7 linked regions of the Mus musculus genome follow. The protein of the gene in region 3 interacts with the protein of the main gene of each other region in a biochemical or structural test. Links are inferred from orthologs where the notes say so. Each region holds a gene or a part of one and is shown on either strand. Other genes may lie near its edges. The genes, in order: Prkd1, Crebbp, Jun, Pml, Mapk8, Sp1 and Ets1.

Evidence for each region.
Region 1: of the proteins of Jun (region 3) and Prkd1, one has a biochemical effect on the other in vitro, tested with the Homo sapiens proteins (2 studies listed by BioGRID). The link is inferred for Mus musculus from reciprocal best matches to the Homo sapiens genes JUN and PRKD1.
Region 2: the proteins of Jun (region 3) and Crebbp form a complex in vitro, tested with the Homo sapiens proteins (4 studies listed by BioGRID, with this or other methods). The link is inferred for Mus musculus from reciprocal best matches to the Homo sapiens genes JUN and CREBBP.
Region 4: the proteins of Jun (region 3) and Pml form a complex in vitro, tested with the Homo sapiens proteins (2 studies listed by BioGRID). The link is inferred for Mus musculus from reciprocal best matches to the Homo sapiens genes JUN and PML.
Region 5: of the proteins of Jun (region 3) and Mapk8, one has a biochemical effect on the other in vitro, tested with the Homo sapiens proteins (76 studies listed by BioGRID and IntAct, with this or other methods). The link is inferred for Mus musculus from reciprocal best matches to the Homo sapiens genes JUN and MAPK8.
Region 6: the proteins of Jun (region 3) and Sp1 form a complex in vitro, tested with the Homo sapiens proteins (2 studies listed by BioGRID). The link is inferred for Mus musculus from reciprocal best matches to the Homo sapiens genes JUN and SP1.
Region 7: the proteins of Jun (region 3) and Ets1 form a complex in vitro, tested with the Homo sapiens proteins (2 studies listed by BioGRID). The link is inferred for Mus musculus from reciprocal best matches to the Homo sapiens genes JUN and ETS1.

Annotation. Positions count from the first base shown.
Region 1 is NC_000078.6:50,387,250-50,390,749, reverse strand, and holds part of Prkd1 (serine/threonine-protein kinase D1), read left to right. Parts: intron 1-762; coding exon 763-840; intron 841-2,217; coding exon 2,218-2,497; intron 2,498-3,481; coding exon 3,482-3,500.
Region 2 is NC_000082.6:4,115,905-4,119,404, reverse strand, and holds part of Crebbp (histone lysine acetyltransferase CREBBP), read left to right. Parts: intron 1-183; coding exon 184-372; intron 373-1,736; coding exon 1,737-2,150; intron 2,151-3,447; coding exon 3,448-3,500. UniProt on the Homo sapiens protein: Acetylates histones, giving a specific tag for transcriptional activation. Mediates acetylation of histone H3 at 'Lys-18' and 'Lys-27' (H3K18ac and H3K27ac, respectively).
Region 3 is NC_000070.6:95,049,423-95,053,549, reverse strand, and holds the start of Jun (transcription factor AP-1), read left to right. Parts: upstream 1-1,327; 5' UTR 1,328-2,278; coding exon 2,279-3,283; 3' UTR 3,284-4,127. UniProt on the Homo sapiens protein: Transcription factor that recognizes and binds to the AP-1 consensus motif 5'-TGA[GC]TCA-3'.
Region 4 is NC_000075.6:58,246,987-58,250,952, reverse strand, and holds the start of Pml (protein PML), read left to right. Parts: upstream 1-1,166; 5' UTR 1,167-1,262; coding exon 1,263-1,412; intron 1,413-3,514; coding exon 3,515-3,966.
Region 5 is NC_000080.6:33,384,659-33,388,158, forward strand, and holds part of Mapk8 (mitogen-activated protein kinase 8), read right to left. Parts: intron 2,639-3,500; coding exon 2,514-2,638; intron 1,968-2,513; coding exon 1,904-1,967; intron 1-1,903. UniProt on the Homo sapiens protein: Serine/threonine-protein kinase involved in various processes such as cell proliferation, differentiation, migration, transformation and programmed cell death.
Region 6 is NC_000081.6:102,430,316-102,433,609, forward strand, and holds part of Sp1 (transcription factor Sp1), read left to right. Parts: intron 1-409; coding exon 410-717; 3' UTR 718-3,294. UniProt on the Homo sapiens protein: Transcription factor that can activate or repress transcription in response to physiological and pathological stimuli.
Region 7 is NC_000075.6:32,751,241-32,754,740, reverse strand, and holds part of Ets1 (protein C-ets-1), read right to left. Parts: intron 1,943-3,500; coding exon 1,824-1,942; intron 529-1,823; coding exon 316-528; 3' UTR 1-315. UniProt on the Homo sapiens protein: Transcription factor. Directly controls the expression of cytokine and chemokine genes in a wide variety of different cellular contexts. May control the differentiation, survival and proliferation of lymphoid cells.

The sequences.
Region 1 (3,500 bases), on a different chromosome or scaffold from region 3:
ACACCTTCGTATGGGAGAGAAAATTTATTTCAGGACTCAAGTGAACTCTATAACTTTCTTTTTGGACCAGTTGGAAAATATTTAAGGTATATTTAATGTTTGTTTAGTCTAAGAGTGGCTGTGAGAGACACCAAACATAAAGTTGAGTCTTTGCTCCTGAAAAGATGCTAATGCACGAATCCCCCCAAAGGTGATGTACCAAGAGAGAAAAACCCAGTCATTAAGTCACAGTGATGAGCTGAGGAGCCAGCTGGATATAAGTCTCTAAACTTGGAACCATGAGGGCAAACCTTCCATCTAATGAGACTTATTTAGTGATGTAGCATTCAACATTCTATGGAGAGTAGAAGTGAAGATGCTTAGCTGAGTCCTCAGGGCCAGTCTAAAAGATTAACACAGACAAACCATCTAGCTGCTACTAAGCCCTGGGTTGTTTTGTAGACTACAAAATCTCCTTTAGCTTTTTAAGCAAATAAATGTTTAAAAATTGGGTGTATTTTGGTATTCATTGTGTGCATATGAATGTCAATTCAGGTACTTCCCAGGATGCTAACCCAGTATCTCGGTTATAATTCACAGTCTTAGAAGTAGGTACAAAAACACGTCACATTATGCTCATTAAATAGCTTCTTGAGTTAAATTGTAAGTTGTTTTTGCCTTTAAATTTAAACTTTTCACCATCAAATCCATGTTCCCTCAGAGAAATTGCACTTGTTTTTATAAAGCGCTCGAATTTTTAAAGTTGTGTAACTTCCATTTCAGCGGAAAAGGCACTACTGGAGATTGGACAGCAAATGCATAACACTCTTCCAAAATGACACAGGGAGCCGGTACTACAAGGTGAGGCTGGCTTCTTTCAGTTTTGCCTCATAATGTTCCTTAAGGAAATCGGGAAGTTGGTCCACATCCAACAGTGTGACCATTCCTGGGCTCCCGAAAGAAACCTTTTAATTGGCGGGATGCGGTTTTTGTAGGAGTTCAGATGTGACATCTTGATTAATCTGTGTGTCTCGCAATTGCCAACAACGTGCTTCTGGCGCAGGGGCTTCTGGGGAGCCGGATGCTGGAGAAGGAAGCGGAGGGGAAGCTAAGTGCAGCAGGGTAGCTGAGTGGTTTGGTTTCAATAGAGAGTTGGTGGCCACAACCCGAGACTACGAGTAAATCTGACATCCTCAGGAAGCCAGCACTGGTTACAGGGAGATCCATTCCTCTGTGTATGTGAGGATCGTATCCCTTTATTTATCAGCAATCGTCTGCCTTTCTACATTAAATAATATACAAGTAGTGTCTAGCTCAGTTCCTGTGATACTTCATGGTCTCCGTTACACAGCTATGACACCACACAAGAAAAGGTTATTAGATTTTTAATTGAAAAAAAATAAAATTATTACTTTAGTTACTTTATGCATCCTGCAGTATAGTATGGCACCTCATGTTTTTAATACTTAAATGACTATTAAAAAAAAACAACTAATTTGGGAGTTAGGAAGGATGGATCATTCAATAAATTACTTATCCCATAAGCTTGATGATCTGGGATCTGAGTTTAAATTCTCAGAACACATAATGACAATGATCATCATTGTTATCATCATCATCAATAATAATAATCCAGGCATAGTCTAATATGTCTTATAACCCTAATGTAGACACAGCAGAAATAGGCAGATTTCTGGAGCCAATCAGTGAGCCTGAGTTTAGTGAGAGATTCTATCTCAAAGATAGGTACTAGTTGTACAGGCACACGTGATTTAAAAACAAAACTTCATTGTAAACTAATTGCTGTGGTTTTTCTCAGTGAACATTCCTCTATGTAACTATGCTGTATTAGCATATATAGAATCAAAATATGTTTGACTGAGATGAAGAAACAGTTGAAATACAAAACAGCCATGAGTATCCTAATACATTTTTAAAGATGTTATAATTTGCTTCAAAGCTTTTTAGATTCTTCCATCTGCCACTGGATCAGTATGTGTGAGAGAGAGAGTGAGGGAGGGTGGAAAGATGGAGAGAAGAAATTTTTCAGAGAGTGTGATAAGGCCTCATTATAGAAAATTACATTTTATGCAGGTTATAAGGCCTCATTATAGAAAACTACATTTTATGCGTGTTATATATATTTGAAAATATTTTCTGTATTTTGTAACTTCCTTTCTCATTTAATAATCGGCATGATTTTGGTTAACCACATTTACCATTCTTTGTCTTCCATAGGAAATTCCTTTATCAGAAATATTATGTCTGGAACCAGCAAAACCTTCAGCTTTAACTCCCGTTGGAGCGACTCCTCATTGTTTTGAAATCACTACAGCGAATGTAGTGTATTATGTGGGAGAAAACGTGGTTAACCCATCAAGTTCCCCACCAAACAACAGTGTTCTCCCCAGTGGCATCGGTCCGGATGTGGCCAGGATGTGGGAGGTGGCCATCCAGCATGCTCTTATGCCCGTCATCCCCAAGGGCTCCTCTGTTGGCTCCGGATCCAACTCACACAGTGAGTCCATTGGCTTCAGTCTGGCATGGCTCAGGCTCCTGATGGTCCAGTAAGAGACCTGCTGCTTTCCCCAAAGAGATGATAAAGAAAGACTCCCCGTGCTGGCTTCAGTTTGTGGCAGAACATGGAATCTCTGAAGGGAAGCTGCTATGCTTACTGAAATATGTATTAAATTGTTATACTTATTTTATATTAGAGCTTTTATAAAGTCAAGTATAACCTATATACTATACGACCACAGGTGCCCACAGCTATTGTTCCTAAAAGACACCATTCAGTCAGTTTGAGCTTCACTTGGAATGACACAAATATGAAAAAAAATCTATTTGCTACAAATCCCTCCTCCTTTTCTACCCATGGTCTATGACTGTTGTTGCTGCTTGATCACTTTATCCCAGGAAGAACTTTCGGTGCACTAGTCAAATAGATTCAGCTAGAGTAGAAGCAAGATGAAATATTGAGGTGGATCTTAAAAAAATAGAGGAGTACCTTTATGAAATTATGATCTGAAATTCTATCACAAATCATGCAACCTGAAGATTAACCTGTTTTAACATTATAGTATATTTTATCTGTCATAATTATATTTTTTCTCAGTATATTAATAGGATACACTTATTTTGACCACAAGGAATGTATCTGTATGTAAACTAAGCACTTAACCAGAGGCCTCTACTTTAACTCCTAAAACCCCATTCCTTAATGATTTGTCTACATTCAAACAGAAACAATTTCTAGAAAGTTGGTTGTCTATTAGCTAACAGAATGGCTGCATAATTTAACCCGAGCTCTATGCTGACAAATAAATATTTAAAAACAAATTACAGAGTTTGTAATGTTAAGGGAGCTAATATATTTTAATAGAAATTTTGTAGAAATACCTAATTGCTGTGATTAATGTAAATATAGTAAATATGGCCCACTGGGGTCTTTAAAAATATACTTTAACTATTTCTTGTCTGTTTTTTAAACATGCATTTCCAGAAGATATTTCTGTGAGCAT
Region 2 (3,500 bases), on a different chromosome or scaffold from region 3:
GCCATTCTGAAGACAGTTCAGCATTGACTTGAGAAATTGTAGAAAGTGCCTAGGAACTGGGGAGTCCCTGGGAAGTAGTGGTCTTTAAAACCAAAGTGTACTAGATTTGTAAGGCTTTGGATCTCCACTGTACTGTGATCTCTTGAAGACTCTGACCTAACACTTCTGATTCTTGTCTTATAGATGGCCATTTCTCCTTCACGGATGCCTCAGCCTCCAAATATGATGGGCACTCATGCCAACAACATTATGGCCCAGGCACCTACTCAGAACCAGTTTCTGCCACAGAACCAGTTTCCATCATCCAGTGGGGCAATGAGTGTGAACAGTGTGGGCATGGGGCAACCAGCAGCCCAGGCAGGTGTTTCACAGGTACATTCACTGAGGGAGCCTGGTCAACCAGTATTTATATAGCCCCAGCCTTTGTGACATGATCCTGTCTTAGTTGATGGAAACTAGAATTCTAGAATATACATCTTTCCATTTCCCGTTTGCCCTATAATTTTTAATTTGTGTTTAATTTTTCTTGTTCCCTCTAGGTAAACTTCACACATAAAGTAAAATGGATTGTGGTTGTGGGGGTTTTGTTTGTTTGGTTTTGGTTTTTGTTAGTTTGTTTTGTTACTCTTATATTTTTACCTTTGGATTTTGGTTGCTGTTTGTGTGCTTTAGAAATCTAAGATTAACGTCATTCTGAGAAATACTGGAATTTTAAGAAGGGGTGAATTTTCTTTTAGTGACTTGGTTAGTTTTTTGTATCTTAACTATGTGTTGGGGTGACAGAGCTGTCAGAATCATGGGAATAGCACTCTTCTCATGAGCATGTTCCAGTTACTTAGTCATAGCTGAGTTCCCATCCAGTTTACTGCTTTCCCTCACTTTGGTAGTGCATCAAGTGTCAGCTGCATACAAAGTATTTCAAATAGGCTAAATCTTTCTCAAAATATAAAAGTCCTGTCCTTTTAAACACTCAGCTGATGCTGAATGCGTTGTTGAATATATTAGGTTTACTCGGGGATGATTAATTTTCCCTATCATTTCATTTCTTTAGAACAGAGATAAGGAAACCAACTCTATTCCCTTTCCAGAGTCTCTCCATGTAGCCCAGGCTACACTCTTTATATCTCAGTCATTTGCCACAGTGACCAGTAGTTTCAACAGCCAGATAGTAAATATGTTCTCTTTCCAGAGTCATACTCCTAGTCGTTCGTAACTGTTTAGCTCTGCTCTTAACCGTGTACAAGTAGTTACAGACAATGTGTAATCTCCTTGTGGTTGTCATCCTATAAAACTGTTGGTGGTACCTAGGTCAAATTTCTCTCTGGAACAGCCATTGTGATTCTTTTTTTAAAGTTAGGGGTCTCCCCAGTGCTCTATGTTCTACTGTCTCAACTTATTTAAAAAACAAAACAAAACTCCTTTTTCTGTGGTCTAAGTTAAAAGTAGATGTGGCAAAACATGAAGTTAGTAAACTAAGTAAATATGTGCCTAAGCCATGACTATTGTAACCTGATATTGAAGTTCTATAAGTCAAAGTATGAGAAGGATTTTAGTGCTAATTTTATTACATGGTGTGGTGCATGCTATAAATGGTTAGTCTGAAGTTTTACAAATGCAATATCCTCCTGAAACTAGCAGAACTAGTTAAGAAACTAGTATAATTTTTTTTTTCTACAAGTCCCTCATGGTTTCAATTGGGTAAAATAGTTTTTATATATTCTTACTATCTCTTTTAGGGTCAGGTACCTGGAGCTGCTCTCCCTAACCCTCTGAACATGCTGGCACCCCAGGCCAGCCAGCTGCCTTGCCCACCAGTGACACAGTCACCATTGCACCCGACTCCACCTCCTGCTTCCACAGCTGCTGGCATGCCCTCTCTCCAACATCCAACGGCACCAGGAATGACCCCTCCTCAGCCAGCAGCTCCCACTCAGCCATCTACTCCTGTGTCATCTGGGCAGACTCCTACCCCAACTCCTGGCTCAGTGCCCAGCGCTGCCCAAACACAGAGTACCCCTACAGTCCAGGCAGCAGCACAGGCTCAGGTGACTCCACAGCCTCAGACCCCAGTGCAGCCACCATCTGTGGCTACTCCTCAGTCATCACAGCAGCAACCAACGCCTGTGCATACTCAGCCTCCTGGCACACCGGTGAGCCTCTTTGTCCTTATCAAGTCACACTTGTACAGAGTCCCTTAAGAATGGTCTGTCGGGCACTCAAAGCACTGGCAGGCTTATCTTGTGAGCTTGAAGCCAGCCAGAGCTAGGAAGTAAGACTCTTATCTATAAATATAAAATAAAAGACTATTCTGTCTGTCAGGATGCTATAGCAAATTGCTCTGGTGCGAAAAACTCGTGTGTGTGTGTGTGTGTGTGTGTGTGTGTGTGTGTGTGTGTGTGTGTGTGTGTGAAATTGTAGTAAACTGATTTGTTCCCACTATTATTGGCCCTAAAGGTATGGCTTACAGTTTCCCTTGGTCAGAGTGGTTTATAGAAGTCAGTAATCATCAGTATGTCACAGCATGGACAGAACTATTGAACTGTGTGTGCTGCCATTCTTTTACCTGGTTTTTGTTCTAGAGTAATACTGTCGAGGTTTGACTGCTTTTGTGCTTAGTTCTGTGGGTTTAGTTATCATGCTTCGCTCCAGACTATAAAGGTCCAGGCTAATCAGCCTTCTTTCAGAATACATGACTTTTTTTTTTTATTTATAATGAAACAACAGATCCCCTCCTCTCAGGTTTGCATTAATTCTGTTCTTAGATACTTAGGATATTTGTAGAATAACAAAATCATTCAACAGTTGCAAAGATGACATTACTAATTTGCTTTCTCTATAAGGGCATATACTTACTCTCTTTGTTTTTGTCTCCAATTATTTATGTTTCCTGACTTCAAACCAGGCCTTTGTAAACACTAGGCAAGCACTTTGCCACTGGCTGCATCCTATGCCCTCTAAGATACTTGTATTTAATTTTTCAATCTTCCTTTATTAATTTATGTACTGCTTAGAGCCTGTTACATGGTAGTGGAGTGTTTGCTTACTACACCACCATCACTACCCTGTGATAGATGCTTCATATGGGCCATTATTTCATGACCTCTCTGTAAATACTTTTTTTAATAGTTTATAATTTGCCTTTCTCCATAAATAGGAATGTTAGTGAAGAAAAATAATGGTAAAATAATCCAGTCTGAAAGCAGAGAGAAAATAATTTTATGTCAGAATTTAGAAAACTCTGTTTGTCCAGCTCTTCATTTTTGGTAAGAAGTCAGTCATTGTGTTTCTGACACTCAGTGACTGACTGTTAAGCTTCCTCAGGGAGCCTCTGCCCTTCAGTGTTCACACTAAGTACTTAGGCTGTAAAGAAGAATAATGAGCAGACTGCGGTGGGAGGACATGTATGGCTCTCCTTTACAGAGGTGAATGACTGTGATTTCTTTGCAGCTTTCTCAGGCAGCAGCCAGCATTGATAATAGAGTCCCTACTCCCTCCTCTGT
Region 3 (4,127 bases):
CATTCGCTCTACTTCTAGATGAGACCAATAAAGCTCAGAGAAGTTCTGAGATTTGCCCTTATGCCCTGGGAGAACCAAGCTTGCCACCTCTTTAGTCCTGAGGGGTGGAGGGTGGAGGGCTGATAGCAGAACCTTAGAAAAGAAATAACTTACATGTGTCTAGCGCTTCCTAGAGGCCGCACAGGATATGACTCCACCAGTGAGCGGGGAGGGGAGTTTTCAGCCTGTTTCTACCAGGGACTCCTGCTTAAGCACCGTGACTTGGGGCGAGTCCGCAGCTCTCAAGGCTTGTTTTCCCAGAAGCAAATCAGGGAGGGAGGAAGGGCGGGCGCAGACTGAGTGTGCGCGGGACCGTGTGTATGTGCTAGCGCAGGCGATCGCCGAGGTTTCCTGAGTTTCGAACCTTTATATGTTGCTTTCGACACCCCATGGGCGCTGGGCTAGCATCTTTCACACCTAGAGGAGGGGTCCCTCGGAGGCAAAGCGAACACCCCTCCCCCGGCACGTCCAGAGAATAAAGTGTTGTGCCGGGGACCCTGATGAGTCGGTTCCGAACACCGCAAATCTCTGGTTTCCAGGTACAGCACACTGCGGCGCAGATCCTTCTCCGAAACTAAACTTCCAAGCATACTCATCTTGGAGGGCTACTCTCAAACCCGCTCAACTTCAACGCACTTACGTGCTCCCACACCCAGGGCGCACACAACCCTTTTAACCCGCATCGCTCTGTCCCCCGGAAGTGCGGGGGTGCGGAGCCAGCTTCAGTCACTCAGATCATTCAGCCCTTTCTCGGGCGTGCGTGCGTGTGTGTGTGTGTGTGTGTGCCCGCGCGCGGGCGCGCGCCTGTGTGCAACCTTCACTCCCACCCAAGCTCTCCGCCCCCGGCCACTAGCGCGCCTCCCCTGCTTTCTGGATCCCCGCGTCTCGGTCCCAGTCCCCAGCCCTGAACTTGAGCCCGCCTCCGACAGACTCCGCAAGGGTCCTGCCGACCGGCAGCCTCCGTCACTAGACAGCCAAACCAAGACGTCAGCCCACAATGCACCGGGCGGGCCGGGAAAGACGCGCCGGGGAGGGAACCCGGGAACACAAGCCGAAGCTGAGCGCGGGAGGGGGGGGGGGGAGGAGGAGAAAGAAGGGCCCAACTGTAGGAGCGCAGCGGAGCATTACCTCATCCCGTGAGCCTTCGCGGGCCCAGAGAAGAATCTTCTAGGGTGAGGTCTCCATGGCGACGGGTGGGCCCGCCCCCCTGAGAACGACGCAAGCCAATGGGAAAGCCTCGGGGTGACATCATGGGCTATTTTTAGGGATTGACTGGTAGCAGATAAGTGTTGAGCTCAGGCTGGATAAGGACTCAGAGTTGCACTGAGTGTGGCAGAGACAGCCTGGCAGGAGAGCGCTCAGGCAGACAGACAGACAGACGGACGGACTTGGCCAACCCGGTCGGCCGCGGACTCCGGACTGTTCATCCGTTTGTCTTCATTTTCTCACCAACTGCTTGGATCCAGCGCCCGCGGCTCCTGCACCGGTATTTTGGGGAGCATTTGGAGAGTCCCTTCTCCCGCCTTCCACGGAGAAGAAGCTCACAAGTCCGGGCGCTGCTGACAGCATCGAGAGCGGCTCCCGACCGCGCGAGGAAATAGGCGAGCGGCTACCGGCCAGCAACTTTCCTGACCCAGAGGACCGGTAACAAGTGGCCGGGAGCGAACTTTTGCAAATCTCTTCTGCGCCTTAAGGCTGCCACCGAGACTGTAAAGAAAAGGGAGAAGAGGAACCTATACTCATACCAGTTCGCACAGGCGGCTGAAGTTGGGCGAGCGCTAGCCGCGGCTGCCTAGCGTCCCCCTCCCCCTCACAGCGGAGGAGGGGACAGTTGTCGGAGGCCGGGCGGCAGAGCCCGATCGCGGGCTTCCACCGAGAATTCCGTGACGACTGGTCAGCACCGCCGGAGAGCCGCTGTTGCTGGGACTGGTCTGCGGGCTCCAAGGAACCGCTGCTCCCCGAGAGCGCTCCGTGAGTGACCGCGACTTTTCAAAGCTCGGCATCGCGCGGGAGCCTACCAACGTGAGTGCTAGCGGAGTCTTAACCCTGCGCTCCCTGGAGCGAACTGGGGAGGAGGGCTCAGGGGGAAGCACTGCCGTCTGGAGCGCACGCTCCTAAACAAACTTTGTTACAGAAGCGGGGACGCGCGGGTATCCCCCCGCTTCCCGGCGCGCTGTTGCGGCCCCGAAACTTCTGCGCACAGCCCAGGCTAACCCCGCGTGAAGTGACGGACCGTTCTATGACTGCAAAGATGGAAACGACCTTCTACGACGATGCCCTCAACGCCTCGTTCCTCCAGTCCGAGAGCGGTGCCTACGGCTACAGTAACCCTAAGATCCTAAAACAGAGCATGACCTTGAACCTGGCCGACCCGGTGGGCAGTCTGAAGCCGCACCTCCGCGCCAAGAACTCGGACCTTCTCACGTCGCCCGACGTCGGGCTGCTCAAGCTGGCGTCGCCGGAGCTGGAGCGCCTGATCATCCAGTCCAGCAATGGGCACATCACCACTACACCGACCCCCACCCAGTTCTTGTGCCCCAAGAACGTGACCGACGAGCAGGAGGGCTTCGCCGAGGGCTTCGTGCGCGCCCTGGCTGAACTGCATAGCCAGAACACGCTTCCCAGTGTCACCTCCGCGGCACAGCCGGTCAGCGGGGCGGGCATGGTGGCTCCCGCGGTGGCCTCAGTAGCAGGCGCTGGCGGCGGTGGTGGCTACAGCGCCAGCCTGCACAGTGAGCCTCCGGTCTACGCCAACCTCAGCAACTTCAACCCGGGTGCGCTGAGCAGCGGCGGTGGGGCGCCCTCCTATGGCGCGGCCGGGCTGGCCTTTCCCTCGCAGCCGCAGCAGCAGCAGCAGCCGCCTCAGCCGCCGCACCACTTGCCCCAACAGATCCCGGTGCAGCACCCGCGGCTGCAAGCCCTGAAGGAAGAGCCGCAGACCGTGCCGGAGATGCCGGGAGAGACGCCGCCCCTGTCCCCTATCGACATGGAGTCTCAGGAGCGGATCAAGGCAGAGAGGAAGCGCATGAGGAACCGCATTGCCGCCTCCAAGTGCCGGAAAAGGAAGCTGGAGCGGATCGCTCGGCTAGAGGAAAAAGTGAAAACCTTGAAAGCGCAAAACTCCGAGCTGGCATCCACGGCCAACATGCTCAGGGAACAGGTGGCACAGCTTAAGCAGAAAGTCATGAACCACGTTAACAGTGGGTGCCAACTCATGCTAACGCAGCAGTTGCAAACGTTTTGAGAACAGACTGTCAGGGCTGAGGGGCAATGGAAGAAAAAAAATAACAGAGACAAACTTGAGAACTTGACTGGTTGCGACAGAGAAAAAAAAAGTGTCCGAGTACTGAAGCCAAGGGTACACAAGATGGACTGGGTTGCGACCTGACGGCGCCCCCAGTGTGCTGGAGTGGGAAGGACGTGGCGCGCCTGGCTTTGGCGTGGAGCCAGAGAGCAGCGGCCTATTGGCCGGCAGACTTTGCGGACGGGCTGTGCCCGCGCGCGACCAGAACGATGGACTTTTCGTTAACATTGACCAAGAACTGCATGGACCTAACATTCGATCTCATTCAGTATTAAAGGGGGGTGGGAGGGGTTACAAACTGCAATAGAGACTGTAGATTGCTTCTGTAGTGCTCCTTAACACAAAGCAGGGAGGGCTGGGAAGGGGGGGGAGGCTTGTAAGTGCCAGGCTAGACTGCAGATGAACTCCCCTGGCCTGCCTCTCTCAACTGTGTATGTACATATATATTTTTTTTTAATTTGATGAAAGCTGATTACTGTCAATAAACAGCTTCCTGCCTTTGTAAGTTATTCCATGTTTGTTTGTTTGGGTGTCCTGCCCAGTGTTTGTAAATAAGAGATTTGAAGCATTCTGAGTTTACCATTTGTAATAAAGTATATAATTTTTTTATGTTTTGTTTCTGAAAATTTCCAGAAAGGATATTTAAGAAAATACAATAAACTATTGAAAAGTAGCCCCCAACCTCTTTGCTGCATTATCCATAGATAATGATAGCTAGATGAAGTGACAGCTGAGTGCCCAATATACTAGGGTGAAAGCTGTGTCCCCTGTCTGATTGTAGGAA
Region 4 (3,966 bases), on a different chromosome or scaffold from region 3:
ATGGGCTAATTTTAAAGGCCAAGGGATACTGGTCAGCTTAGATGTATGGCCTCCACAGTCTCCAGGATGTTGGGTCTCCCTTTAGAACCCATCTCACCACAACTCTAAGTTTACAAAAGCAGGAACCTGTTACCATCCCTTTTAATCAGTTTCACATAGGAACAGAGAATAGGCACATAGGGGCCAGAAAAGTGGGTGGGAACAGACTGAAGTTAGAAGCCAAAGGCACTGGCCAATGAGAGTGTCAGCAGGTGTGTGTTTTCCTCACCCACTAGTTTCTGGATTGCTTTTTCTTGGTCAAAAAGCTAACTTTGTATCTCTTGTTTTCTTCACCACTGCTGGCCAGCTCTCCCCTTGCCTCCCTGTTGTCTACCTCTGTACGATGCACAGTCATCAGACCCATTCAACGCTGTTCTGTCACCACGGTCCTTCCACTGACTCAGAACTAACTCTGTGTCCCACAGTTACTTCTCATAGGCCACCTGCCTCAAGGTCATTCAAGAGACGCAGCTGACACGCTGTAAGAAACCCTTCACCAACTCTCAGATCATATGTAGAATCGGTCCATTTCTCACCGTATGATTCATCTCATCTTCTCTGGTATCACTTCGCAGGAGCCCCATCTTAAATCTGAAAATGGCCCTGACTACTTCCCAAACTGGCTCTCCTGTTTCAGACCTCCACTCCTTTCCAAGTGTTTGTCTCTCTTTAAAATGTCTGAGCAGCTCTGAATTCCTGGTCATTTTCTATCTCATGCTCCATTCTCAGCTGAGGGATGCCTTTCCAGGCAAACCCATCCCAGTACTGAGTCGAAGTCTCCACTAGGGTGCACTTGGGAGGCTCTCTCAAAGAGGAGTTTATTTCTCTACCTGGCTTTTAACTAGAAAGACATATAGCTGTGGAATGAGTCCAATAGCTCACAGACAGGGAAAAGCCTGTCAGCTCTGTTTCTCTCCTGGTGTGCATGCTGCGTACGTGGCCGGATCTTTCCTTGTTCTGCTAATGAGCCATGCCCGCATGCCGGGCTTGTTTACTTGCTTGTTTGGTTAACCTTTCTGACTCTACCAGAGTTACTTCCATAGCTCCCTAGTCTTTCTCTTAACTTTGGAAGGGAGATTATAGAACCAGCCTCTCCGCCCCTAGACCCGCCCAGCCCTGTCTCACTTCCTCTCGGGAGGCGGGCTCTCCTCGGGCAATCTCTCGCTCAGTTTTCTGGCTCAGATCTGAGACCCATTTCCCGCCTTCACAGACCTAATCAAGAAATGGAAACTGAACCAGTTTCCGTGCAGAAGGTACCTGCACCCCCTGGATCTCCCTGTCGACAACAGGACTCTGCCCTGACCCCCACGCCCACCATGCCTCCCCCAGAGGAACCCTCCGAAGACTATGAACACAGCCAAAGCCCTGCAGAGGTACTACTGGGTTAGAAGGTGTAGGGCTATTAGGTTTTTTTATTCGTTTACTTTGGTCGAGGAGTTGAGGATGAAGAAGGTCGTTATAGAGAAGTAAGTTAATGGGTTAGTGTCCTAAAGAGACACCAAGGTCCTGACCCTCCTGGCTGGGCAGAGGTAGAACTGATAGCCTAGAGTAAAATAGGAACAGGGGCCCGGCGGTGTGGGGCACACCTCTAATCCCAACACTTGGGAGGCAGAGGCAGGTGGATTTCTGAGTTCAAGGCCAGCCTGGTCTCTACAGAGTGAGTTCCAGGACAGCCAGGGCTACACAGAGAAACCCTGTCTAAAAAAAAAAAAAAAAAAACCGGGATGAGTTGGATTGTAACTGGGGATAGTTGGATTGTAACTCCTACTCCCTGAAGCCTTGCCTGAAGCGCCTACCTCAGATGAAAGACTATAGTCCTGTGGAAGGCCTGGCCAGGAGTCTTATTTGCTCTGGCCTGGAGCTAAAGGCATGTCCCAGACTTGGCAAAACTATAGTCGCCCTCCCTGACCCCCACACCAACACTTCCCGTTTTTCAGCTGTGGTTGCACATCCCAGGAGCAATAGTGCTTGGGATGGTAGGGCTGGAGGGAGGATGACAAGTTCCAGGCCAGCCTAGGCCACAAAGAGAGTTCAAGACCGCTGAGGGCATCACAGCAAGACCTGTTTCAAAACAAAACAAACAAACAGACAGAACCTGGCTCAGACCAAAGTGCCTGCTAAGACCAACAGGATTCACACAGCTGCTTTCTCTTTTGATTTTCATCAATTTATTTTATGTGTATGAGGTTTAGGGATTTATTTTATTTTATCTTTTGGAACACAGGGTCTCACTCTGTAGCCTTGGCCGGGCTGGAGCTTGCTTTGTAAGCCAGGCTGGTCTCAAATTCATAGAAACCACCTGCCTGCCTTCTGAGCTCTGGGATTAATGTATGCGCCACCAAGCTCATTTTCCTAAGGAAGCCTAGTTCATGGCCTTCCTGGGAGTATTGCCTCAACCTTCCATACTCACCCTGGAAGGAACTACCTCCATCCCATTATTCTTCACTCATTTTTCCCTTCACAAAAAACACAAATAAGGTCACATTGCCCTAACTTTTTATTATTAGCATTATATAGCTAAGGATTAAAAATACTAGTTGACATTTATGGGTACTTCTCTCTCTCTCTCAATCTCTCTCTCTTTTTTTTTTTTTTTTTGGTTTTTCGAGACAGGGTTTCTCTGTATAGCCCTGGCTGTCCTGGAACTCACTTTGTGAACCAGGCTGGCCTCGAAATCGCCTGCCTCTGCCTCCTGAGTGCTGGGATTAGACTTATGGGTATTTCTCATGTGCCAGGCACCATGGTATTGAGCTCTTTGAACAGTAGCTCCACCTTCTATACCTATGAACTAACTATTATTATTTTATATGACATGACTGGAATTACACAATATTTCTAATTTTATGGCAGGCATATTATTTCACCATGTCTTCAAGGTTCATCCAGGTTGTTGAATGTATCAGGATTTCATTCCTCTTTCAGGGTGAATACTATTTTGTTACATTTGCAGACACATTTTGTTCATGCGTTCATGTGCTAAGGACACTTGGGTCACTGTGACTTTTGTGGGGGTGTTGCTAGGCACATTAGTATATAATTATATGCTTGGATATTTTTTCCAGTTCTTTTGAGTATATATATGGAAAGTGGAAGCTTGGTCATACGGTAGTTTAAGTCTAACTTTTTGAGGGTCATCCTGCCAATTGTGTTAAGCACTTTATATGAAGTTGATACTTTTCCAAACTTGAGTCCCTTAAATGCAAAGATGTATCTATCCTATCTTGTATCTCAGGACCTACTAGTGAGTCTAATGATAAGCAGATGGGTGCCCGGTAAATTGTGCAGTGAGAGCTGCAAGGCTCGAAGTAAATGAGGAACTGGGGTGCCGATAAGCCAGGACATGATCCAATGACTCCCAGGAATGGAATGTGAGGTCCTACCCTCTCCAATCTCCAGCTGAAGGGATGGGCGGCCAGTGGAGGGGACAAGACGTCTGGGCTTTCTGTAGGCCTCACTTCTCTCCTTGGTTCACTAGCAAGCCATACAGGAGGAATTTCAGTTTCTGCGCTGCCCGAGCTGCCAGGCCCAAGCCAAGTGCCCCAAACTGCTGCCTTGCCTGCACACGCTGTGCTCCGGATGCCTGGAGGCGCCTGGCCTGCAGTGCCCCATCTGCAAGGCTCCTGGGCAGGCCGATGCTAATGGGGAGGCCCTGGATAACGTGTTCTTCGAGAGCCTGCAGCGGCGCCTGGCGGTGTTCCGGCAGATCGTGGATGCTCAGGCTGCGTGCACCCGCTGCAAAGGCTTGGCCGACTTCTGGTGTTTCGAGTGTGAACAGCTCATTTGCAGCAAGTGCTTCGAAGCACACCAGTGGTACCTCAAGCATGAGGCCCGGCCCCTGGCTGATCTCCGCGACAATTCAGTGAGCAGCTTCCTCGACAGTACGCGCAAGTCCAATATCTTCTGCTCCAATACCAACCACCGCAACCC
Region 5 (3,500 bases), on a different chromosome or scaffold from region 3:
AGTTCAAGGTATTTCTGTTTTGTTTTGTTTATATAGTATCCTTTGCTGGAGACCAGGCATGGATGGCACATACCTGTAATCCTAGTACTTGGGAGACTGAGGCAGGAAGATCACAAGTTTGATGCTAGTCTGGGATACACACATACTTCTATTTCAATATTCTTACAACTTTAAAAGCATTATCAAAAAGCTGAATACTAAGAACCAACCAACTACCTAACCAATAGATAGAAAATTTATTTTTCATCCGAACAGGAAATTATCAAAAAAATACAAATGGATAATAAATGTATGAAAAAAAATATCAACATTCCACATGTCATCAGGGACACACAAAAATAGTACCAAGATTCTATCCAACATCAATGGAAATGGCTACCATCTATCAAGAAAGCCAAAAGTAACAAACGCTGGTAAAGATGTGGGGGGAAAAAAAAGGAAGCTTCATACATATTAGAGTAAAAATGTAAATTATAATAGTCACTATAGAAATTACTGGTTCCTCAAAAAAACCCAAAAAGCAGAATTCCATTAAAGGCACCTAAGGCAGGCAATAGCAGAGCTATCTGCACACCCATTTCTATTGTGGTACTATCCACAGCAGTAAATACACTATTAGTGTAGATGGCCATCAACAAAAAAAAAAAGCACGGAGAAAATGTGGTAAGGTTGGGTACGGTGGCAGTCTTTAATCTCAGCACTCTAGAGGCACGCAGTGCTGGGGAAGTTTGGCATTAGTCTGCACTACATAGGGAGTTCCAGGCCAGCCAGGCAGACCTAGCTTTTTTGAGATCCTGTCTCTAACAACAACAACAACAACAACAACAACAACAACAACAAGTGGTTTATGTGTATGCAAATTAGTTTTAGCCAGCTATAAAGTAGAATGAAATTATGTCATTTGCCAGAAAAATGGATAGAACTAGAGATTATCAAGTTAAATAAAATAATTTTGACTCAGAAAGATAAATATTGCATGTTTTCTTTCCAATGTGGAACCTGGGTTTGACAATATAAATATACATGACACAAATACATACAAGGGCTGGTTAGGAGGTGAAAAGGGACCAGAGAGAAAATAAGGGAGGCCATGAGAGAGTAACAGGAGGTTGGCACGAACAATGTAGAGGTTATGTCCATATCTGAAGATGTTATAGTGAAACCTGTTACACTGTACACTGAAATAATAAAAAGCATATTTATGTATGACCATATTAATAAAATAGAAAAAAACTAGATCTGATGTTCAAAGATGATAAATTAAGCCACTCTACTGGTTAGAGTGGCTGTGGATCAATACTCTTGTATCATGCTGACAGAAGCAGAAACTACAATTTCTTTAATAAAAAATCAGGAAGTAACTAAAATTTAAAATTTGGTCCAGCATATAAGCTTTTTGGACTACTGTCTCAATTCTATGAAGTACGTGCACATAAACACATGGCCACAGTAACAGACTGTGTGAAGGTCCACCTTCAGTGCTTCTCACAAGGGAGCTGGATATGGACTGGGACACAAGCTTCCCTATAGCTCACCACCTGCCAGCTATTAAAGTGTGACGTTAGACCCAATAGGGTCTGTCATCTTCAAGATATATGGATACATCAACAAACAGGTGTGTACAGTACACTGAGAATACAAGCACCAGTCATCTTGTAGATGGGACACCCCAAACATGGCTGCTGGAACAAGGAAGAAAACACTAATGTGACTATAACTGAGGTACAAATTTTCAAAATTAAGGAAGGAAACTGACTTTCTACTTTTGTAAGACAAATAAACAAAACCTTACTACTAAACATAAGTTATGAAAACAGAAAGCAACACTAATTTCTGTAACATGAAGAAGTCACTATGGAAAGCCAGAGGCTCCCTCAGTGTCTGAGACTCCGGTGAGTGTTACCTTTCCACTCCTCTATTGTGTGCTCCCTCTCATCTAACTGCTTGTCCGGGATCTTTGGTGGTGGCTGAAAGACACAAGTCAGAACAACTGTTATAGTTTACTGGATGTATATATACAATTAATTATTTGAAATATCAGCTAGACATACAACTTGCAAAAAATGAATCATGAGACAAAGGTCAATCAGTTATCATTAACTTTAACTTTCTGGAGAGTAGTTCTGTAAGATTCCTTTCTAAGTAATAAGCTGTTTGTCTTTTTTCTTTTATCTCAAATTTTAAAATTGTCACATTCTACCTATATTTCAGAAATCTGTTCTGCTTTAAATACAAAACATTGTTTCTATCTAAGGATGCACCCACAGGCATCCTAGGCTCCTCTAATCAACTGTGAGTTCAACAGAGTGAGAAACAGTGGAGGTTCCTGGACGATGATGAGGGCTTGGACAGATGCTCATTAACCTAAAGTTTTCTTTAGGAAAACCTCGGCAAACACCAACACCGGTGATCTGTGCTGATTTTTACTTAAAATGACAAGTTCTCTCTGAAAGTATTTCAGTCCCAGCTCTAAGGTTGGAGTATGCTCTTCAAACATTGAGAAAGTAACTTACGGCTTCTGCTTCTGAAGGATCATACCAGACGTTGATGTATGGGTGCTGGAGAGCTTCATCTACGGAGATCCTTTTGGATGCATCTATTACTAGCATTTTGGATAACAAATCTCTTGCCTGACTGGCTGCAAAAATAATGATATTAATATACACCAGTTCATGAGATTATTCAACCATGCACATTAGGATTCTGAGATTACATTTATTTTAGAAAATTCATCTTTGCCAAGCATGTGGTGGTACATATGCTTGTAATTGCTAAGCGGAGGATGCGGAGACAAGAGGATAACAATTTCCAGATGAACTTGGTTTATATAAATTGAACCAAACCAAACTAAACCAAGACAAAACAAATCCTATGCTTTTAAAAAGATGCTTTTGTTATTTATTTTTATGAGTACTAAAAAAGATTTATTACAGGTTTTGTTTGTTTCATCTTTTGAGATAGGGTTTTCTCTGTGTAGCCTTGGCTATCCTGGACCTTGCTTTGTAACTATGCTAGCCTTGAGCTGTTCTCTGCCTCCCAAATGCTGAAATTAAAGGTGCTTACCATCACTTGATTTATTGCATTTTCCAGTTATGTGTATATGTGTGTACAGAGGGAAGGGGCAGGTGTATGTGTGCACATGAGTGCAGGTGCCCAGGGAGGCCAGAGAGGGCACTGGACACTCTGGAGCTGGATTTGGGAGTGGTTGTGAGCTGCCTCACATGGAGGGTAGGAATTGAACTTAGGTCCTCCACAAGAGCAGCAAATAATCTCTCTAGCCCCTGTTTTTTTGTTTTTCTTTTGTTTTGTGTTTTAAAGACCAGGTCATGCTATGTACCCTGGGCTAGCCTGGAACTTACTAGGTAGCTCAAGATTATCTCAAACTCCTAACAATCTATCAGACACAGCTTTCCAAGTGCTAGGATTACATTGGGAACCACCACACCTAAAGAATAATTTTTCTATAAAACCAGGGCACATACATGATTTATAAAATACAT
Region 6 (3,294 bases), on a different chromosome or scaffold from region 3:
AATGCCCTCTTCAGACAGCTACAATGTATTCATGAATAAAATAGATAAATCTTTAAAAAAAAAAGAAGAAAGAAAGAAAGAAATGAGCTCATAAGCTCTCACCTCTCTTATTCTCATCTCCAGCTCTCCCCCTCCCTTCCCTCCTTTCTCCACTTGGCCATGGCAGTCCTCTCTCTTTCTACCTTCTCTCTTTCTGTCTTTCTATAATAAAGCTCTAAAACCATAAAAAGAAAAGAAAAAAGAAATGATATGCCCATGAAGCAAACTGAAATTCCTAAACAATGTATATGTGAAACTAAGCGTGTCTCCAAGAGTACTTGAATTAGTCCAGAAGGATACACATCAACCTCAACTTTGTTCTGACTGCTTTTTGGCTAATTTATCTTTTTTTTTTTTTTTTTTAAACTAGGAGAGAAGAAATTTGCCTGCCCTGAGTGCCCTAAGCGTTTCATGAGGAGTGATCACCTGTCAAAGCATATCAAGACTCACCAGAACAAGAAGGGAGGCCCAGGTGTAGCCCTGAGTGTGGGCACATTGCCCCTGGACAGTGGGGCAGGTTCAGAAGGCACTGCCACTCCTTCAGCCCTTATTACCACCAATATGGTAGCCATGGAGGCCATCTGTCCAGAGGGTATTGCCCGTCTTGCCAACAGTGGCATCAACGTCATGCAGGTGACAGAGCTGCAGTCCATTAATATCAGTGGCAATGGTTTCTAAGATTAGACACCCAGTGCCAGAGACATATGGGCCAATACCCACTAAGCCCGGGATGCAAGGTAGCATGGGTCCAAGAGACATCTGGAAGAGAGAGCCATGAGGCATTAATGTGCTTGGTGGTAGGAAGAATTGGGAGATGGTACAAAAAAAAGAGATGGGATTGTGGCACCCAATGTCACTGGTGACTCCTTGAAAATGGAAAATATTAGTGAAAATTCTGTTGGTGCCACCCTTTGATCAGCATTTATCTCATCCCAGGTTCTTCTTACACTTCTTACCCCAGCCTCCTCTTCCTGTTTTTCCCTCTTAGCTCTCCCATGATGGATTCCCCCCCCCTTTTCCTAAAGCCATCATGCCTTGATAAATATATATGATCATTGAAATACTTTTTAACAAAAACAGATTCTATATTATATATATATATATATATTAAAAAATATATAGAGATGCTTTCACAGGGGCTGGCTGGGAGGAGGAAAAAGACCATTCTGTGACCAAAATACCTTGGTCTTTTTTTCTTTTCTTTTCTTTTCTTTTTTTTAAAAAAATTGCCTTATTTCTCAATGGCTGAGCCTTATCATGACACATCAAGCTTTCCTTATAAATGTTGTCCTGGCATCCCACCAGAGTAAGCATTCATACTTTCTGCTTTTAGTTCATATATACATATATAATGTGTCTTCTTTCTTAATTTTGTTATTTTATTTGGGATCAGCTCCTTGCACTCCTTTCCTGACTTAATCCTTGTCTCCCTTTCCTCACACGATCACTTCCTGTGTTGTTTTTGACAGTGATTCCTGGATTAGGCACTTGTGTTAATATTTTAAAGACTTTAGTTCCAGCAACAGAGTGGAAAAGCCTGAAGTATAGTCTGATGCTTGAAGTAGCTATGGAGGGAGTGTTCAAAATACTACTGACGCAAGCACCTTAGTGCTGGAGAGTCAAAACCATCTCCCTTTTTTAGCTGTTCTAAACATCAGAAATCAGAAGTCTTTCTGTGGAATTGTACAAGAGGCCCTTTGAAGGAGATATACTTCCAAAATGGTCAAATAGTAGGCAGCAGCTTTCAGTATGAAAAAGATGTTCTCAGAAAAGGAAATAACTCTTAGTCTTGGGTTCAGAAGTTAGTGGAATTATTCGGATTTCAGTATCATTGTCTTCCAAATAGCTATAAGCCTCAATGTATGGGCTTCTGAGTTCACACTCTGAAAGGAAGTACACTTCCTCTTTTGAACATTTCTGTAGTTCCTTCCTATTACTGTTTTAATGTTAAGGAGCATCAGCCAGTGAACCTGTTTGGATTTTCCATCCTGTAGAGTGCAAAACTTGTGCCAGTGGCAAAAGTGGTTCTTTAAAAAAAAAAAAAAGTCCCCCTTAACTCTTCCTTAGATATACTTGGGTGGTTCCTAAGGGAAAGGGAAGCACACAATCATGGGAACGATAGCCCAGAACAAAAAGAAATCTTGTCTTACCACTGTGGATTATAGGAGAAACTGGGAGAAATTATCCTGCTTTCTCTATGGCCTGATTCCAGAAGAGACTGATCCAAACATTTTATCGGCAGGGAAACTCAGTGCGTTTGGCACTGAGACTTAAATGCAACCAGAATTGTCCTCAAGGCCCAGCCATTAAAGCATTGTCTCTCTAGACCTTGTGCTATCTTGTCAGAGAGCTTTTCACTGTGAGGAAGTATGGGAGTGGTTGAGTGTATGTGTGAGATCTGTTAGGTTGGGGATAGGTTTTCTGTTAGCCAATATTTAAAGAGACCTGCAATAAAAAATTACCCTGATCTGATAGAGAAACTAAATTGTTTTTGTATGACTGCGTGTGAATGTATTTGTGCCTGTATATATCTACATGCAGATGAGAACTTATATTTGAAATTGTTGGAAAATAAATTCAGATCAAAACGCCTTTCAGGTCCAGTATCTAGAAATTGGTCATAAAACTTGGGTATGTTCCTAAGGTCAGTTCTCTGCTTATGCTAAATCGGTTAACAGTTATGGGGTTGGGGGGATATCCTAGTGCACTTTCTAAAGAAGAAACTATTTTTGTGTTTGAAAATGAAATCAACATCCAAATCTATAGTGGATTCCTTATTCTAACTTCTCTATCTTGGCTACAAATAGATTATAGTGTTATTATACATTTTATGTAAATTCCATCTAAACTAGGTTCTTGATAAGTTTATGGTATTGTTAGCTTGAAATACTAACATTAGTTTATTCCATTTGGTCCTTTCTATGCAGACTTAATACTGTTATCAAGACTCAGGAAATATTTCAAGGGACTGTCCCCAAATCACATGTTATTAATGTTGACGTAAAAGTTATCTGTCCTCAGCCACCATCACACCTTTTATTCCTAAAGAAAAGCAGAACTCAAACAAACCGTGTTATTTTACATTTATAATCATGTACTTTGCATCTCTGGAGGAAGAGGGCAGGATAACTCAGTGGAGTGTGCAGTATTTTGCTAGAAAATTTCAAGAAATAGAATCTTGTTCAGTATGAGGTGATTAGTTACAAGCCGGCTTCGAGATGCTGAGGACTATAAGCCTTTGGATAAGTTATCTGA
Region 7 (3,500 bases), on a different chromosome or scaffold from region 3:
CGGACACTTAAGTTTTTTTTTCCTCTGCAAGCCAGGTCCAACAGGCTTCTGAGAAGACCTCTCCCTTCTGAAAGTCTGCTCAGGAGCTATTGCCCCGCCCACCCCGCAGGTCCTGACCTCCTCTTTCCGGCCCACCAATGGCCAATGGAATACAGCGGCGCTCCCTCAGCTCCCACCCCTGAATGTGAAAAATGAGTTCTGGAAAATAAAACATTGAATAACAATTAAAAATGAAGAGTCCAACCAACAGGGTTGCTCTTTGAAAGGTCTCAGCAGGGTTCCCCCAGCCCCTTCCTTCTGCGCGTCTGTCCATGACTAGTCAGCATCCGGCTTTACATCCAGCATGGCGTGCAGCTCTTCAGGGGTGTATCCCAGCAGGCTCTGCAGGTCGCACACAAAGCGGTATACGTAGCGCTTGCCCGCCGTCTTGTGGATGATATTTTTGTCATAATAGTAGCGAAGGCCACGGCTCAGTTTCTCATAATTCATCTTAGGTTTGTTTTTCCTCTTTCCCCATCTCCTGGCCACCTGTAATAAAAATAAAATTAAATACAAGTGTCTATACAAGTCTTCACATCCATCATGGTGGTCAAACAAACATCATGTGTGTGTGTGTGTGTGTGTGTGTGTGTGTGTGTGTGTGTGTGTGTGTGTGTGCATATGTCTGACTTATTCCTTCATTTCCTTTTTTAAAAAATATTTTGAATTGTTTATAATAACTATACATTGAATGTATAGTTAGGAGCCATGGACATTCTGAGATTATTTCAAAAGATGTAGGCAGAACAATGCAACATTTTAATACAGCTGTGCATTGTGTCGTGATCAGACCAGGCTAAATGGCATGTCTTCAATCACAGGCATTTCCCATTACTTTCTGGGGACCATGCAAAATAACCCACATTAGCGATTCTGAAATACCTGCTAATGTTCTGTAGGCACCCTACAGTACCACAGAGATTCCAGAGTTGCCAATTCCTGTACCTGCATTCTTGGGCTCATTAACCAGGGTCTCCCCAACCCCTTAGCCTCCTCCTGGCCATGCTCAGATACGTCACTCTTTTATCCTCTGTGTCTGTGGAATCAGCAATTCAGTGTCTACATGTAAGCGAGAATATGTGCTGTCTTTCTGAGCCCAGAGTATTCCTCTCAATAGGACAATGTCCCTATCCCATACATGTGACTGCAATAGAACTTCTAATTTCAAGTGTCCAAGTGTTGAGTTCCATTTACTTGTTCAAACAGTGACTCTGAACTCCTCTGGAATACAGTTAAAACACTTGGTCTTGAAGGAAAAGGAAGAGCCGTGGGGCAGACATCCCTCTGGCCCACATTATAAGCAGGCATCCTTAAAATGAAAGCACAGAACTGGGCAGAAGGGAGAGGATGGGAGGAGAGCGCTGGCACCTCTGCTTCCACCAGTAGGAAGCATCCTTTCTGGACCAGGGTAGAGACACGTTCTCATGTCTGCCAGAAGAGAGATCTCTTCGTTCATATACCAACCATTTATTCAACACTCTGGGATGAAAGGATGGAAAACGATCAGAGTGGATGCATCTTTCCAGATGCACAGAGCCAGGGACTAGACAGAGGGCAGGACCAACTCTGTACCAGGAACTTATATATACATCAGTTTGTCCCAGAAAGTGTACACACTTTGGGCTCTGCCAATGATGAGACAGAAGCTCGGGCTGGCTGCATCATAGGTCGCACACGCAGCAAGCAGCAGAGCTGAGCTAGAAATCTGGGCCTACAGGATCACAATCCCAGCATTTTCTCTCGCCCATTCTCAGCCCAGGACTCCCAAGTCACTCATTACATACCTCATCTGGGTCAGAAAGCTTGAATTCCCAGCCATCTCCTGTCCAGCTGATAAAGGACTGACAAGACTTATCAGTGAGTAATTCCAGAAGAAACTGCCACAGCTGGATCGGCCCACTTCCTGGAAGCACAAGGCACAGTGGCTCATTAACAAAACACACTGAAGGCTCACAGCAGCTAGGCCCACTAGGCAGCAACCCTCACCAGCCTCCCAGCCTGTCTAGACAGGCGAAAACTCAGGCAAGCGACAGCACAAACACTGGAGTCAGTACTCTGCGTTCAGAGAAAGTAAAGATTTCCCTTCCAAAAGAAAAAGGAAATCACACAGGATGATACACCATGTGTCTGTTTTTATTAATTTCCAGGTTGGTCTCTTTTAATTGCTGTGCTCTTTTAATTCCAGAGTTTTCTGGAAAGACAACACCAAGTCTATCTTCACACGTGTTCTACGGAATTACTAATCTTGTTTGTTTGTTTGTTTGTTTGTTCTGAGATGACTCACTACAGAGAACTGGCTGGCCCGGAACTTGTAGACCAGGTTGGCCTAAAACTCAGAGATCCACCTGCCTATGTCTCCCTGGTGCCAAAGGAGTTTAGTCTCTCCTCAGCACACATAAGCTTTGTGAAGTAAAGGAGCCAGCTCTTCCTTACCACAATGAGAATATACCTCCAGCTCTGTGAAGCCATCTTGCAAAACACATTGTGAAAATAAAAGCACTCAGCAAGTGCCTTCTAAGCAAACGACCTAGAGGGCTGTAAAGCCTTCACTCCCGTCACATCTACCCATCTGTAAAATAATCCACTTAGTGTACAACTCAAATACGTGTTCAGATTTCTTGGGAGTCCAGGTAAGTTAGCAGCTGCTCTGAGCTCAGGAAGCTAAAGATGGCAAATGAGAGACTCACTGAGAAGCCATTCTTGGTGACCCGGGAGCAAACCTCTCTTGAGAAACGGACTATATAAGAGCTCCGGTGTCAACTCTTAAGTTTCCTGATGATGCTCAGTAATCTCACACATCCCTGACAGAGAGACACAGAAAAGATGACCTGAGTCCTATGTGCACTCTGTATTAACACTACAGACCTCAAATATGAGAAGATTGCTAACAAAAAACTAAGGGGAGCTGCTACACACTCCCTTAGCTACACATCAATCACTGTGGCCTTAGCTACACATCAACGCTTTCTCTCTGCTTGTGAATTCTCAGTGACTCAACGGGATAGATACTGTTATTAGTCTATCGGTTCCTACCGTGCAGGAAAACAACAACAAAACCACAATGTACAACACAGCTATCTAACTTGGGTGAAGGCAATCAGAAGAGAAACAGGATAGCTGGGTCAAGACTTCAGATTCTTCAATACACTGCCCAAACCAAAAGCCAAGGGCCTAATTAGATTCCCTGCCTGGTTGCCGTAACTCGAGTGCTAAATGGTTCTAGCTTTCAGAAGCCATCTCCCTTGCTTCTCACGTAGTCACACTCTTGAGATACACATGGCCTACTATGCTGGGTACCTATCCCAACAAGTGACAGTGCCAGCCCCAGAAGGCCCCCTGAAGTGGCTAAGTTTTATACTATTAGAACCTCTCTCGTACTGTCTTAAAATTTTCTCTTAGAGCAAGGCTAACCTATTAAGATTAGGAGAGGGATGGAAAGATGAAAAGACCCAGACAGGTCC